Linked DNA regions of Oreochromis niloticus. The protein of the gene in region 2 purifies or fractionates together with the protein of the main gene of each other region. This does not show direct contact. Links are inferred from orthologs where the notes say so. Each region holds a gene or a part of one and is shown on either strand. Other genes may lie near its edges.

What was found. The genes of interacting proteins can lie anywhere in the genome.
Region 1: the proteins of adrb2a (region 2) and usp33 purify together in Homo sapiens (affinity purification with western blotting; 3 studies listed by BioGRID and IntAct, with this or other methods). This does not show direct contact. The link is inferred for Oreochromis niloticus from reciprocal best matches to the Homo sapiens genes ADRB2 and USP33.

What each region holds. Positions count from the first base shown.
Region 1 is NC_031982.2:25,335,740-25,343,524, forward strand, and holds the start of usp33 (ubiquitin carboxyl-terminal hydrolase 33), read left to right. Parts: upstream 1-4,246; 5' UTR 4,247-4,435; intron 4,436-7,785. Other genes in the region: miga1 (mitoguardin 1), read right to left, coding at 240-338. UniProt on the Homo sapiens protein: Deubiquitinating enzyme involved in various processes such as centrosome duplication, cellular migration and beta-2 adrenergic receptor/ADRB2 recycling.
Region 2 is NC_031966.2:29,906,341-29,914,058, reverse strand, and holds the start of adrb2a (adrenoceptor beta 2, surface a), read right to left. Parts: upstream 3,305-7,718; 5' UTR 3,124-3,304; intron 2,833-3,123; coding exon 1,573-2,832; 3' UTR 1-1,572. UniProt on the Homo sapiens protein: Beta-adrenergic receptors mediate the catecholamine-induced activation of adenylate cyclase through the action of G proteins. The beta-2-adrenergic receptor binds epinephrine with an approximately 30-fold greater affinity than it does norepinephrine.

The sequences.
Region 1 (7,785 bases), on a different chromosome or scaffold from region 2:
GTTTAATGACTGTTTCACCTGATGGATTTCTGAGTACATCTGAGTTTTCTAGCCAAGAAAAAAAAATACAGACATGTATGACAAGCATGCACCCCAGGTTTCAATCCCAAAACGCTAAAGCCATTGATCTGAGGTGGGAGGTGGGGGTTAATATGAAGTGAATAAATAATTCATTCTTGTAAACCAGGCAGTATGGATATTCTGACAGCTGCTAGGAGCACGTTGAAAAGCATCCTCACCTGTGTCAGGGAGCTGTAGACAGACAGCGGCAAGTCAACCATACGCAGAGCTGCAGTCCTCATGGACAGCTGTGAGCTTGTGAGGGTCTCATGTGTCATTGTGACGCTCTGCCCATGACTTGGCAGCTCCCTTATCCTCAACACCGCTCTGTGCAAGCTGAAGAGGATGACATTAAGGGATTTAACCTTGGAAGCTCAGGAAGGGGATATAATGACACTAATACACAAAGCTGTTGGTATTCTCTATGTACTGCTAGGAATACCTTGCTTAAAGTGAGTGCAGCCAGTTTTAACTGCATAATATATAATTAAAAGTCGGGGGGGAAAAAAGCCTGATAACATGCAAACTTTCATTCTTAAATATCACAAACAAGAGAATTGCCATGAAAGAAAAGCCTGTGAAATGTATCAGATGCAGTGGTGTCAGTTAATTAAAACAAAACAAGTCCAATCTGATCCCAACCCTCTCAGGAACAGCTCATTCTTTGTACATGTAGCCATGGAAAATTAATTTATCTTCATACTATGAATATTTTCCGAGTTAGGAGCCCTCATAACTTGAGTGCAACAGACTGAAACATGACATTCTCAGGGTTGAAAAACACCTTCCAAGCTCGGTTAAAAACAACCACCAAATCACGTTTACACCCAGTCAAAATGTCACAATTTAAGCCAAATACTGCTCACAGATCTAGGCTATAAGGTGAGCCTGTTATCACAATGTAGGTAAGAAGAAGATATTTCATATGATACAACTTGTTTAGGGTGGTCGCCCTTTAAAACTTTAATGCAAAAGAAACTTTCTTCAGTGAAATATCGAAAAAAACGGACAACACATTTGGAGTACTGAGAAGTTGAATTTCTGTACTTTTGCTGTTGAAGCTATGATTTGTTGATTTTGGCTTTAGAGTGTGACACTTTGACTGGGTGCAAAACTGATTCTCTTACAGCTTTTAAAAAGCTGAGAAAGTGTTTCTAAACCTAGAAAGCTTCATGTGTTTATCTCTTGTACTTAATTAGTTATAAGGGCTAAATTCCTGGAATTTTTTAAAAAAACCAACCCGTGTTTACTTTGAGGACTGTAATAATTTTAATAGCATTAAGGTAAAAAACGAAAAATATTTGTATTACTTAATTAAATATGCACACTTCCATCTAACAGCCAAGTCTAAGTCTGCACAAGACACTCACAGCTGAACGATCCAACCATTGAAAGCCAAGCCTGAGCCTCACACAGTGCTCGTTGTTAGTCGTAGATGTTGAAAGTTTGCTTGTGTAAGGGTTATGATGTTTGTCAGAAGTATGAGAGTGCATCTGAGAGCCTGAAACTGCAATAACAGAGGTAAAAAAACCCAAACAAAACAAAACCTTGTGATTTTCTAAACCCCCCCCAACTTAAAAAAGTCTAGGTAAGCAAAGGAAAACTCTTTAATGTTATATAGTTTTAACATAAAAAGCCTTCGAACTCTACATTAATAAGAGTGCGTACGGATTTTCGTTTTTATTTTAATTAATTATTCCTTTATTTCTCATCTATTCTGAATCGACTTGCGTATTATTATATTAATTGTGATATTATTTTTAATGTTAACGGATTTTATCTTCCTCTTCAGTAAGTTTATATAGCAAACAAGACACAATAAGATCCCCCCCACCGCCCCCGAGGAGCATCTAAAGTGTTTTCACTGGGGCAAAACGCTGACACCGGTATGGATAATCACATAAGCACATGGTTAAGAAACGCCAACCCGAATAGCTAACGGCTAACAAGGCTAATAAAGGCTACCGGGGTTAGCTAAATCTATTAAACCAGCTGAAAATAAACACTGTGACAGACAAACTCGAGCTCATCTCTTAGCTGAATGGGACAAACTAAAAGCATACATGAATTCAGCGGTACCTTTTTAATACTCCTCCGCAGACACAGCTCCACTGTTTCACTTAGTCCTCAGGCTGACCTCGGCTGCCGCACAGTGAAGGACTCTAGCACCAGCCTGGATTTTCAAAATAAAAGCACGTTCCCGCTCAACGCGACTGTGGGCTCCTTGCGCCCTCTTGCGGTGTACCTGGATACACTACAGATTACTATGTGTATCTATCAGAAATATTAACAGAAAAATCAAGACAAAGTTTTTGTTTAATTGGAGACTATCTTTTAGTTTACAGACATAAGTGAGAGAGAAAATTACAATAAAGAAAATAAGAAAAATAAAGAGGAAAACAAAGAATCAAACGTTAATTTAAAAAAGTGTGATTTTAATCTTTACAAAATGTACTGAATTCTAAGCCGTGATGGACAAAGTTTCACCATATTCATGTTTTAAATTCGTACAAACAAAATGAATTAGTAATTGATAAACATGAAAATTTTCTTCTTCTTCTTGCTGCTCCCTTCAGGTGTAACCACAGTGGATCAGCCTGCCTCCATCTCATTCCATCCCCTGTCTTCTGTCACAACAACCCTCTACAACTACAAAACTTCCTCTTTTTCGCCTGCCTGGCAGCTCCATGTTCAACATCCTCTTTTTAATGTATCCACTATATTATAAATATATATTATATATAGAAAGGAAAAGCTGTGTCTTTCAAAGTCATCTATCAAAGGAATAAACCCGAGGAACTGGAACAAAAAGGGCTTTTTGTTTATATTGTGTAAACAAAAAGGGCAGAAATGAATAAATGAAAAAAATAAAGAATGATTATCACTGAAATGAGATAAGAAATACTACCAGACCACGACACAAAAATCAGCCTGTTGTTCCAGATCATGCACAGCTGCTCCTCATCAAGACGTGTGGTGGTTGTCTGTGAGGAGGAAGGAATTGTTACTGGAAGCAAATAAGGTCTACTATTGAGGAAAACTTATGCAAATGTGTGTGCAAAGTCTAAAGGTAAAGGTTGGTGCAAAGAACTTGCTGTTAAGACATGATTACTCACCTGTCTTTTCTGTCCTATCCAGGGTGTTTGGGCAAATGTTTCCCTGGGGTCCGGACACCATTTAAAGGTTCTAGGAGAGGCCATGCATTAAAGGAGTGTGTTTTTGGTCTTCCTCACTGTAGATCCAGCTGCAAAAGGCCACCTTGTCACACAGACTCGGGATCATAGATAGAACTTTGGGGCTGATGCCATCAGAGAAAGCAGCCTTGCTCTGGTTTAGTTTCTCCAAATGTATATTAACTTGTTTATTAATTTATTCTTAATGTATTATTTTCTTTGGTATGTGTTTAATCTTTTTTTATTTTTATTTTTTAAGAAATCTGTTCTCATTCATAATATGCTGTGTGAAACATGGTGGTATAATAACTCTCTACCTTTTGGGTTATTATCTTTGCATTGAATCAATTATATAATCATATATTTCTATCACCATGTTTTGCTTTTTGCTATTTTTGTAAAGCTGTAAAATAATAATAACAATCTTCATCATTTACTTGGCCAAAAAGAAGTGGACAGCAACACAGTTGAAATACTTAGCAGTCCAGCTGTATGAGCATCACATTGTAACATAACCGCCCATTAAAGTTTATAATCCATTTATAAGAACATTTTGGGACATTAGATGGTGCCACTGATATAGTGATAGTGGAGCTTTTCTACTGGTGACTCTGGGGTGGATGGATCCCTGCAGAGGGGATTTCTTCACTATGAAAACACTAGATGGCGCTTGGGATGGGTTTATTACAGTGCATGTTGTCTTTAATGATCACCAAATCATTCTTTTTCCTTTATTGCTACCCGTTTTGTCCTTCATGTAAGTGAACTGTAATAAGTTTAAAGACGCTGCTAGTTTTTTCTCTAACAGTCCATAACTGTCCCATCACATCTGATCCTCAATATTGATAAGAGCGGATCACTAGGCTCAAAAGATAATTAATATTTGCTTTTATGTGACTTACTAATTGAATAATCTACAGTGAGGCTATAATGCTGTTAAAAACAAAAAATTATAGACCGTATAGGATTAAAAATCAAACGTGCAGCAGGATGGGGAGGGCTCGTATGTTTTCTTTAAACCGGAAAAGAGGCGGGGACAGCAGTAACGTTAGCAACCACGCTGAGCGACAGGGACGGTTATCGTTAATGTGAAGAAAGGACTGCACTCTAATATGTTTCTCTAAGTACAGACTGAGTTTATGTTGCAGACCGGGAGTACCATCCGATTCACCTGAGAAGCGGCGTCCCTTGGTACCGAGCAGGTAAGGCCGAAGGCTGACGTTGCGGCTGACTGTGCCGTAGTCACTGTGGGATTGTCCCCGATCACAGGAGGCTAACGTTAGCCAGTAAGTTGCGCACGAGACGGCTATCAATGGCGAACCATTTCACCTAAACACTGTCTCTGGAGGGTAATACGTTCACCTTTTGTTGTTTTTCTATGCTCCTTGTGGGTATTACGTCAGATAAAATGCTCTTAGGATGGCCGTTAGCATGCTAAGGTTAACAGCGAAATAGTGCTAGTCAGCCCGTGACGCTGTCAACGCCTCGACTGGTTTTGACAGCTCACTTTGTACAAGGCCGAAGCCACACGCATCTGTAGTATTCACCGTTTTTTTATCTACGTGAGGCTAAACCACCCGCTGCTTTAAACCAGGGTAGTTAAAACATGGCCCTTTTTAACTGAGTTTTTTTTTTTTTTTTTTTTTTAATATTAAGGCCAATGCTACCCATTTGTAGACAGTCTGTTGTTAAAGTGAGCTGTTAAGCTTTACATGCGTTGTTGTTGTTGTTTTTCCGTCTTCCGGTGTTTATTGTGTTGCTGCTTATCATTTCAAAATTTCCCTAAAGATAACAGCTACAGCCACAGCCAGCATCGCTGCTTTCGTTAGTGGTGCGAGGTTCGGGTTAACGCCCCACCCTGACCGCGCCACCCCTTTGTGCACAGTTTAATATCATGTAGTATTGTCACGTTGCTGGCAGAGGCAGTGAAACGGTGCGAAGAAAGGTTTGTTAGCCGAGATACTCTTCCTATCACCAGCTTTACGTAATCTCACGAGGCTTGACAGTGAAACTAGCTTCTAATCAGATTTTCCTGGTGTCTACTACAGAGTTTAAGGTCACTTCAGCTTTTGCAGGGATGGCCGCAAAGTCCAGGCAATTGCGAGGAGCCTGGTAAGATGAACCAAACCTCGCCCTGTTTCACTTTGCAGGGATTTAGTGTTGGTATGAAATGAAATCAGTTTCAAAGGCGTCATTGATTATTAACTTAGACCTAGAGACGGTTTTGATGAGGGGAGGAAGCAGGCTTATTGACTTGCACGTGACTGAACATGAACTTTTCCTATCTCCCAGTCGACCTGTTGTCTTGACCAGATCATGACGCTACAAACACAGACACAGATGCAGGGTTTCTTTTGCATAAATAAACCTTTGGCTTTCCACCTTTACTGTGATAAACATGATGTTAACAACTTTGTTTGAAAATTGCATACACTTCTGTTAATTCTTTTGTCTAACAATATGCAGAGCAATTGTGCTTATGTGCATTGTCCCTCAAAGGCCCACTCTGAGCAGGAAAAACCCTAAAATATTTGCCATCTTCCTACTGTCAAATATAATATCTGATATCTAATGTCAGATATTAAATGGACTATCATTGTTTTCTCACTGCTAAGATGATGGATGAATCAGCAGTTCTAGTTTTGGGGATCACATTTTGTCAGAAATAAACTGATTGCTTTCAATTACTTACGTGAACTCAAAATGTTTACCATCTTCTGCTCAAAGACAGACCTGGAACTAATTGTTTAGTCGCCGAGTATTTTATTATATATTTTTTTGGGTGATTAAAAACAAGAAGACTTAAAATTGAAGAGGAAACATTTATGTGCTACCTGGATAGTAACCCAAGCATTGTCGACCCGTGGTTTTGTGCCCAGAATGGCTATTGGATGATCCGGCCTGGCTTGTAATGATGCATCTACATGTGCATCTTTCTTTCATCTGCCTCGAAGAGTAATATTAGTGCAAACAGCACTTGGAACAAAACACAAAATTGGCTTCATGTCATTAACCACAACACTGACGGATGAGATGGAGCTATGTCCTGTGTGTACTTCTGAGGGTTCCCCCCCCCTCATACTGTTGTTGTTGTCTGTGGGCTGTAAAATGGGGGAAAAAAAAAAAAAAAAAAAAACAATCAGAGAGAGGGAATCACAATGATCAGCTTTCTCTCTTAACCCTGGTTTTCTGCTTCAGGCTCTGTCGACTCTCACTTGACTGCGATTGAGTGCCTCCTGCTTCGGTCAGAGGAATTCCCGATAAAAGTCTATAAAGGATATGGAAAAAAAAGACAACTTTTCTGCAAATAAGCTGAGAGTATTACTGCAGAAAGTCATTTATTTTGTGACTCAGTGAATTAATATTTATTTTGTCACTCAGTGCACTTTCAGCGCAACAGTTATTAAAAACGTGACTGCTACACATTTGAGCTCTGAAATGTTAAACTGGATCTGTAGAAACATTAAAACTAACCCGGTGTGTTTACGCCTGATTCTGTACCACAGCTTAATGATGGAGAGGTAGAAATCACTTAGACTATGGCCAGATCAAAGTGAAATGGAATATTTTTGGTGACAAAGTGTTTTTGTCTGTGTTAAACAAACTTTGGAGGAGATTGGGAGAAATATGAACTTTACTGCAGGCCTTTATTTGATAGTGTAAGTAAGCTGTGACTCAATAGGTTACATGTAAATAGAACAAATTCCCCCAGTAAAGGATCAATATCATCCTTGGACAATGTACACCCAACTGGTCTCTTAGGCCAGTAGATCAAGCTTTTACTGTCTCCCACAAAGTAAAACATTTGATTGTTTTATATACTCCTAGTTTAATACAGAATATAGAATGATTAATAGATTTATAATTTAGATGATTAATTTATATCAGAAAAGGTAGTTCTGGTGTGGCAGGTGAACAGCTGGCTCTTCTCATTTAGACAGACTGTTCAACAAAGGACTTTTACTGGTGTTTTAATGGAAAAATACTGACTGGAAGAAATAAACAAGTCATTAAAAAGAGTTCATTTTAGCAAGGTTTCTTCAGAGGGGAATAAATCAGTGGAAACTAGGGAAGAAGGTGATATAGGTGAACTTCCAAGAAACAACAACAATAATATAACAATAATTTTGATGATACGAGGAAAAAATGCTGGGCAACGTTTCACTGATGCTTGCAGGGAGCAGCATTTATAAGTGTAAGCGAATGAAGAGCATTTTCTATCCCTCTTTTCTAATGAGTTATTGTCAGTGATGACACAGTTTGTTATTCAAAGTGCAAATCTATTGAAACAAAGTGCCAGCGGGATTATAGTGCAGTAATAGTGACACACCATTAGGCAGCATAAATCAAATGTAAGCACAATACTAGCCTAGGGAGATTTTCCTGTGACAAAGCTACGTGTTAAGCAGTTATTTAATACTTTTACTTATGTTTTAGAACAGCTAAAGTAACCTAACCTTGTAAATTCAAAAATATTTTCCAACTGGAATCTCGTGTCCTGAGTTGAGCTTTCAACCAGCTGCTTAAAGCCCTGCTTTTCCAGCATGTAACT
Region 2 (7,718 bases):
GGTTTTCTGATTTGCAACTGATTTTACAACGGCGGAGGCACCTGTGAGAGAGCCGTGACAGTGGTGCGCTACTCAGGGCTGTTTTCTTTTTCTTCCTCTCATCTATCTTTATTACCCTGAATATTCACCACCGCCACATCTTGGGTGTGGAACTTTGTTATCGCTTGGCTATTTTGACACACTGTTTATTATTACGTGTGGTTTGTACCCTTGTGCCATGACTAAGGAAATGGCTTCTCTGGTTTCAGTAAACAGTGTACATGCTGAAACAGAGCAACCACAGATTTTAATAAATAAATAGGGCTTGTGCAACAAAGGGCGCTACTGTAACTGTTGCATAGAAGGAAAAGGAAAGATGAATAGTTTTTCTTACACTTACGTAATGGCCATAATGTACTGAGTCACATGTAGCACATAAGTCGGCCACTTAACAGAATGCAAGAAGTGATGGGTTCTGACTGTGCAATAGCAAACTTTAAAATGTGCACTTTTGAATTTATGTTAATAACAGCTGCAAGCTTCAAAGGTCAACACTCAGGATTAACCGCATTATCTGTAATGGCATCCACTTTGCACCGAAAGATTACATATATCTTTTGACCTGACAGCGGAATCTGGCTTAGACAGCATATACATGCTTGCAAGTTTTGACCACCCTCACTTTGACCTAGGTTTCATCAGTAACTCATAGATTACTGTGAAGCTTCATATCTCTAGTGCTATCCGCCCGCAATGGAAACTCAAATGCAAGAGACTGTAATACACTATAGAAGGGAACAGGGCCTCGTAACATTGCTGAGGAGTGAAACAGAGCGACTGAGACGGGTTTTGCCACACCTGCTTTGGATCATTTTTCAGATTTGGACAATCGTTAAAGAAAAAAAGAGCAAAGTAAAGGATGCCAGATTATAGTCTCGGTCAATTTGGAATGTGTTTCTTGAAGCAAAGCATCGAAGAGGTATTACGTTTAACCCTTCACCTTCAATCGTTCTCTGATTACTTTGCTCTTTGTGCCAAATTGGCACGTTCGGATGAAATTTACAACCTCCGACCGCTTCTCCTTTGAAATTCTGAAACATTTTATGCTAATAAAAACTGTGGGATCTTTCTCCAGCTCAAAGATAAACAACATGGCTACAAATTCAGTTGAAGCCAGACAATTAGCAGTCATACAATCCACAGGCCATTTAGTAGAGTAAATAAACTGCTGAGATGCTGCCCTACTTTAACTCCTGCGGAGAGTGACTTAATGTGACAGATGGTCAGCTAAGATGCAAATATTGAAAAGGTATGATGAGGTAGATGTGAAAATTCAAAAAAAAAAAAAATGCAAGAAACACACACAAAAGGGAAATGTGAGAGACCTACAGTTTTGTGTCACTGTGTTTGAAGAGGAAAAGTGACACTTTACTCAGCTGAACAGCTGAGTTATTGTTTCTTTAAAGTCTCCAGAGACTCTGTCAGTCATTTTTGACTGGCCTTACCTTCATCAGCCATTTAAAAAAAAAGTTTACAATAGCAATGTAAACATATCTGGATTTCCTTGTTGACAGAAGTCTCAGTGCTTCAAGTTTATAGGACAGTCGTTATACTCGTTACAGTCATTATGTCTTTGCTGCAATTCCCGTTGGGGTCCACTGCTCTGTCCACAACACTGCAGACCCCTGCTCCTTTCCCCAGAAACCCTTCAGTGGGGTCACTCTCTTCTGAGTTACCTTTACTCCTCCCCTGCTGCTCACTCTGCCAGCTGTGCCTGCTATAGATGTATCCATTCACAGGTCCAGGGTTGCTGAGGCGGTTCCTCTTCATGCACAGGATTTCCTTGAATGCATACCAGAATTCAGGGCTCCGACAGTAAATAAGTGGGTTGAAGGCAGAGTTTGCGTAACCTATCCAGTTAAGTACCATAAAGGTGGTCGGGCTGTTCACAGCCCATATAGCCTCCACCACGTTTAGCACGAAGAAGGGCAGCCAGCACAGAGTAAAGGTCCCCATGATGATGCCCAGAGTCTTCAGAGCTTTGTGTTCCCGAAGGCAAAACTTCGCCTTTTTAAGGCCACGCCCATTATTGGCCTCCAGAGAATTAGTGTTGCTGATGTCGCTGTTATGAAAACGTCCAACGCTTTTGTCAATCTTTTTTAGTTGGTGCCTCGCCTCCTGGAAAACTCGACTGTAGACAAAAATCATGATGACCAAAGGGATGTAGAAGGAGATGATAGAGGAAGTGATGGCATAAGCCTGGTTGGTGTGGAATTCGCAGCAATCAGTTTGGTTTATACACTTTTCAGCTTCCTTATTATCAGCAGTCCACCACATCATGTGGATGGGCAGGTAAGATATCAGTGCAGCAATCACCCAGACCAGCACCACCACAAAGCGAGCTCTGCACTTGGTCAACATTGACTGGTAGCGGAAGGGAGAAGTAATGGCCAAATAACGGTCTATGGCGATGACACAGAGGGTCTCAATGCTTGCAGTCACGCAGAGCACATCAGTGGCAGTCCAGAAGTCACACCAGAAATTACCAAAGTACCACGTATTATTAGAGATAATTTTACAGGCACCGAAAGGAATCACAATCAGACCCATGACCAGGTCGGCACAGGCAAGCGATGTGATGAAACAGTTGGTGACATTCTGGAGACGCTGAAAGCGGGCAATTGCCGTTATGACCAGGATGTTGCCAAAGACAATAGTCAAAACTAATAAGGACATGACCATGCCCAGCAGGATCATTACAGGGGCACTGAAACCTTCATCAGTCCCAGTTGAATTCGATGACGAGTTCATTGCAGTCATATTGGTGTACTCTGAGTTGGTTGTACTTCCCATCTGAAGAGAACACATATGAACAAAACACACACACACACACACACACACACACACACACACACAAACAAAAGGAGTGAATTTTACAAATTACGTTTTTTTTTTAATTCTGCCTAATTACAACAAAAGAAAATGAAAAAAAATGCATGCACTTAAATCTAGCACTAACAAAAAAGAAAAAGGAGACCAAAGCTTACCGCACAAAACCCACATACATAAACTCAGTATATCCAGTTAGTTTCAAGCAAGCTTTAAAACATGCTAAACAAGCCAGACAAAAGCAGAAGTACAAACCTCCACAGGTAGCAGTCGTGTTTCCTGGCTCCCATACAAAGTAAAATGTCACTGTTTAGGTAGTTCCCACAAAGCAGTGAGTATCACATGTCCCAGCTACTTTCTGCTTTACTTGATCTACGCGTGTCTCACTCACTCAGTCCCTCAGCTGAGCAGTGTTTCTTCTAATGTGTCTCCCAGGCTATTTGTCAGAGCCCTTATAGCATGCAGTGATGACATCATGGTCAGTGCTGAGCCAATCAGACAGCCAGCCTGCGGAGGGTGCAGAGAGCTCTCAAGAGTTTGAACACGCTGTCCCTACAGTGGTGTTTGCAGGGCTGCATGAGACAAAAACTGCAAACAAAGTAAAGGACTCCTTAGATTGATCTTTTTTTTTATAGTGTGAAATTAGTTTTAGAAGGTCTACACTGTGCTTAAAATTAGACTCTACTTAAAGTTAGGCACTGCAAAACTACTTGGAGGGGGGGGGGTAATGTGTAATAGCTGCTTTACAGATCTTACTCATTGCTCATATTTCATATTGAAAACAGGCTCAGCTTTCTGCTTTACCTTTTTATGTTTTAATGTCAAAGTAATGTTTTAAAACTATGTATATTTTTTTCTGACCTATTTTACTTGTTGAACTTAAATACTGCCCGCATACTTAAATGTATATTACAGCCCGTTTAGTTTTTGTAACCACAGAATGAAAACACTTAGATTTACATAATGCTACAAGTACAGATGTCTAAAAGTCAAACTAGGGAAGAGTCCCTCATAATTTTAGTCTAGGACTGCACCACTAGTGTGGCCAGTTTGACAGGGACAAGCTGTCACGCTATACCTTATCAAGATACAAAAATGTTTTCAGGATTCAGGACAAATTTGCATTTATATATTAAAAGTAGCTCTGTGCAAATCATAAAAAAACTGGGATGTTTGTTTGTTTTGTTTTTTTTAATATATGTATCTTAAATACTATTTAAATTTTGATGCAGAGAACTTTGTTATCTGTGTTTCAGCCAAACCGTGGCTGATAAGAAAGCTACAGAGCACCTAAACCACAGTACGTTTGTTTGGGTTTGTGACCTGGTTGTGCAACAACTAAGTAGGATGTTTTACCACAATTACTTTCAGTATGTATAGCTTTTTTTTTTTAAATCTTTGAGCATGGAAATTATTTTATATTTGTTTATGTGTTTGTTTTTTATGAACAGCAACTTTATTTCTTATTTAAATAAACATTCCAATGTTCTGATCAAGTTGATCCCACGTTTAAGTTAATTAGCAGCCACAAGATGCAATTTGTTCCCATGTTTTTGTACATTTACATTATATTACACAAGTTAAAAGGCAAACAGTGAAATCTTCAGAGCTAGATAAATAACATTTTCATTGTTTAGGCATCTTAACAATAACTTCATACTTATACATTGTAGTGTCTATGTAAAAGACACTCGAATATACTAATACAGGTTAGTCTGTTTTTCATCTACAACAATTTGCATTTGGTTGTTTTGTTGGACGTCCCCGTCATTCTACATGGATACTTGAAAAGCCTAACATAGAGGGAAACACACCTCCTGCCCTTTCATGTATATACATGGAAAGCCTGAGGCAGGGAAAGTAGTAAAAGCAGCAAACACGATAAGAGTGATTACACTGTAAACACAGACTTCACTTGCTTGTTTCAGCTAACATAGGAAGACTCTGAAAAGTGTGCTAGCAGGTGTAACAGATGTACAAACAAACAAAGCGGTAGTTTTCAAGTGGTTGAGCCATACGAATGGAATTGTGTCTTCAGCCTACACCGGTTAGTCTCCACACTGAAGCACCTGACAGTCGAAGTGAATGACACTGATCATTAAAATGCAATGTTGTGCTAGGGCCTGGCATTTATGTTAATTTGACGCGTGCTACCAAAGGTTACCACTACATTACAATACCACTTGTCAAAATCAGTGACCACTAGCCTGACAGCGTGCCACGCCACACTGCAAAAACTGCTTAGAAACACGTGCCCTGACATGACCCTGCTCAACAGTGGACTTCTCGTTTACATTTTGTGGCAGATAAGTAAAATAGCTAACAAAGATTTATTAAAGATGATTTAACGGTAGAATCAGTTTTCACCAATAGTGACAAATTGCAAACTCGAGTGTAGACTGCAATAGCACGTGATAGCACTAATGTTTTAGATAGTGACTGAATTTTGGTCAAGACTGGCAACGTCCAGTCCGAGTGCTTTCCAAATGGCTTCTGCTGCTTCTGCTTCAGCTTGCTGATGCTGCGAATCCTGATGATGGTGATCGACACAGAAAGCATTAGAGTAAATGAAGTGTGATAACTGACAGCCTGCTTGTACTCATGAGACCGAGAGGAAGTAGTAACGGTAGACAAGGTAAAACGGCTTAAATACCACATCACATATGAGCTTTGCCAATGGCATTCTCAAGCCTAACCAACGGGAGATCAGTGATGAGTGAAGTGATTTTAGTGACAGTACTGTGGAATGGAGTTATGTGTGGAACACACTGTTAACCAGGTTCAGATGACTGTACATTTTGATGAAAATTAGGCTGCTCTATTATCAGCATCACAGCAGTGAAAATGAGCTACAGCTTGTGCTTTTGTCATTTTTGAGCAACTGGTCCAACATTTCAAATCCCAGGTCGAGGTAAGTGTGTCTCAGTTATCTGTGGGTGCTTTCAAGTGTGTACAGGTCCACGCTAAGCTTACAAAGGGAAGTGATGATAGTTTCCAGAGCTCTGATCTTCAAAGAATGCAGACGCCAAAGGCACTGTACTTCCTCTGTGCACTTCCAAGGGAGCTTTGACAAATGCCTATATGACTGATGACGCAAGAGCAAATCCAACCACTCAATCCATATGCGCAAATCCAATTTTCAGCATTTACACAGACATCTCAGTACTTATTTATACAAATATGATTTTCTATGTCCCACTTTTTAAACAAAAACGGGTCAGAGACATGCTGCATACTGCTTGTAACCATGGTGCCTTCTGACTAATTTGAACTTTGTTGCTCACAGTAAACGTTCCAGGCAAAATGTCAGTAACTAGCTACTGGGTGAATTACTCGAAAATGTTCCATAGGCATTCATAGGAAGACTTAAATTGATTTGGTGACCTTTTGTCTCGTTACATATGTTGCTTATATGACAACTTCTCTTGGCAGATTTCCATGAAAACCAGTAGTCATATTCCCAAAATTCATTTAGATGTTTTAATGACCTTTTAATCTATTTCCTTTTACTACTGTGAGGATTAAACTTCCACATGCGCCCCAAAAAGAGGAAAAATGTAAACATGCATTGCTCTGAAATCAAAAGTCCACTCCTTGGGCTTTCCCACTGGATCAGCAGGTAAAAATAGTGCCATGAAATACCCCCAGCTCATTTTACTCATTTGATTTTAGTAACCCCCATAGTCTTATCTCTTGCACAACATGCATGACAAACCCACCATGCTTAGCCTCTAAAGATACGTCAGTATATTATCAGCACCTTCCAACAGTTAGATTGTAAGTTATAATGTACAGCATAGGCATCAAATGCTTTTTTCTCCTTCATGTATTACTTTGAGGAGCTTTTCTGTTTTGCTTTTAATGCAGAAAAAAGATTTTTAAATAATATCAAGAAAGCTTTTTATTGGATGATCAGCTTTAGCGTTGTCTGAGAATGCTGGATTTAGGCCTTGAGCTCGTTTGTAATTGTAGGCCTATGTGGACAACTAAGTGAAACACAGTACATATTAAACTTCACATTGATTTAGTTTAAATATGCAGTACAATAACCTACACTAATTGTAAATGAAATTTCTGTTCTGTGTTCTGTTTTGGAAAGCTTGTTCCAGTGTTGGATTAATCACAACTGGTTTCCTCAGTCTGTGACATCTGTTTTCCTGTATCCTGTCACTCCCAGGCAGAACCGGTTCACATTTGGGTCCTGTCTGCACTTAGATGTTGTGCACTGCTCTATTTAGTCAAACACTGTCACATTAAAAGTGTCTTATCTCTTTACCATCTCCTGTACAATTCCTACTTCTCTTTATTGAAGTTGTGATGCTGACCTGATGGCCCAACAAATTACTCAGCCCCCCCCTCCCAACACCTGTTACAGTGTCACATTTTACTGTGTGTACAGAATTTTTGTACTTGAATTCTAATGCTAATATCTAAGGGTAAGGTAAACTAGAGACGGGAAGTCTTTCTTCACCTGGCAGAGGAATTGCCAGTCTCACGGGAGTCACTTTTTTCTCTGCCTCATTGATTGCAAACATACAAAGAGAAGGGCGAATTAGACTCTTGTTTGAGGAGGTTAAAGGCCAAATACTGTGATGACCAGTGTTGGGACTAACGCGTTATTAAGTAACGCGTTACAGTAACTACGTTATTATTGTGGTAACGAGCACGGTAACTAGTTATTATGCCAAAACCAGGAACGCGTTACTCGTTACTGGGATTTAGATAGGCTCGTTATTCGTTACTTCGTGTGGTGGATATCGCGGAGCTTCCACAGATTCAATAACATTAGCAAGTGGTGGAAGCCAGCAGGTGGATGAAGGAAAAGGGAGGCAAGAGGAGAGACCCGAAGC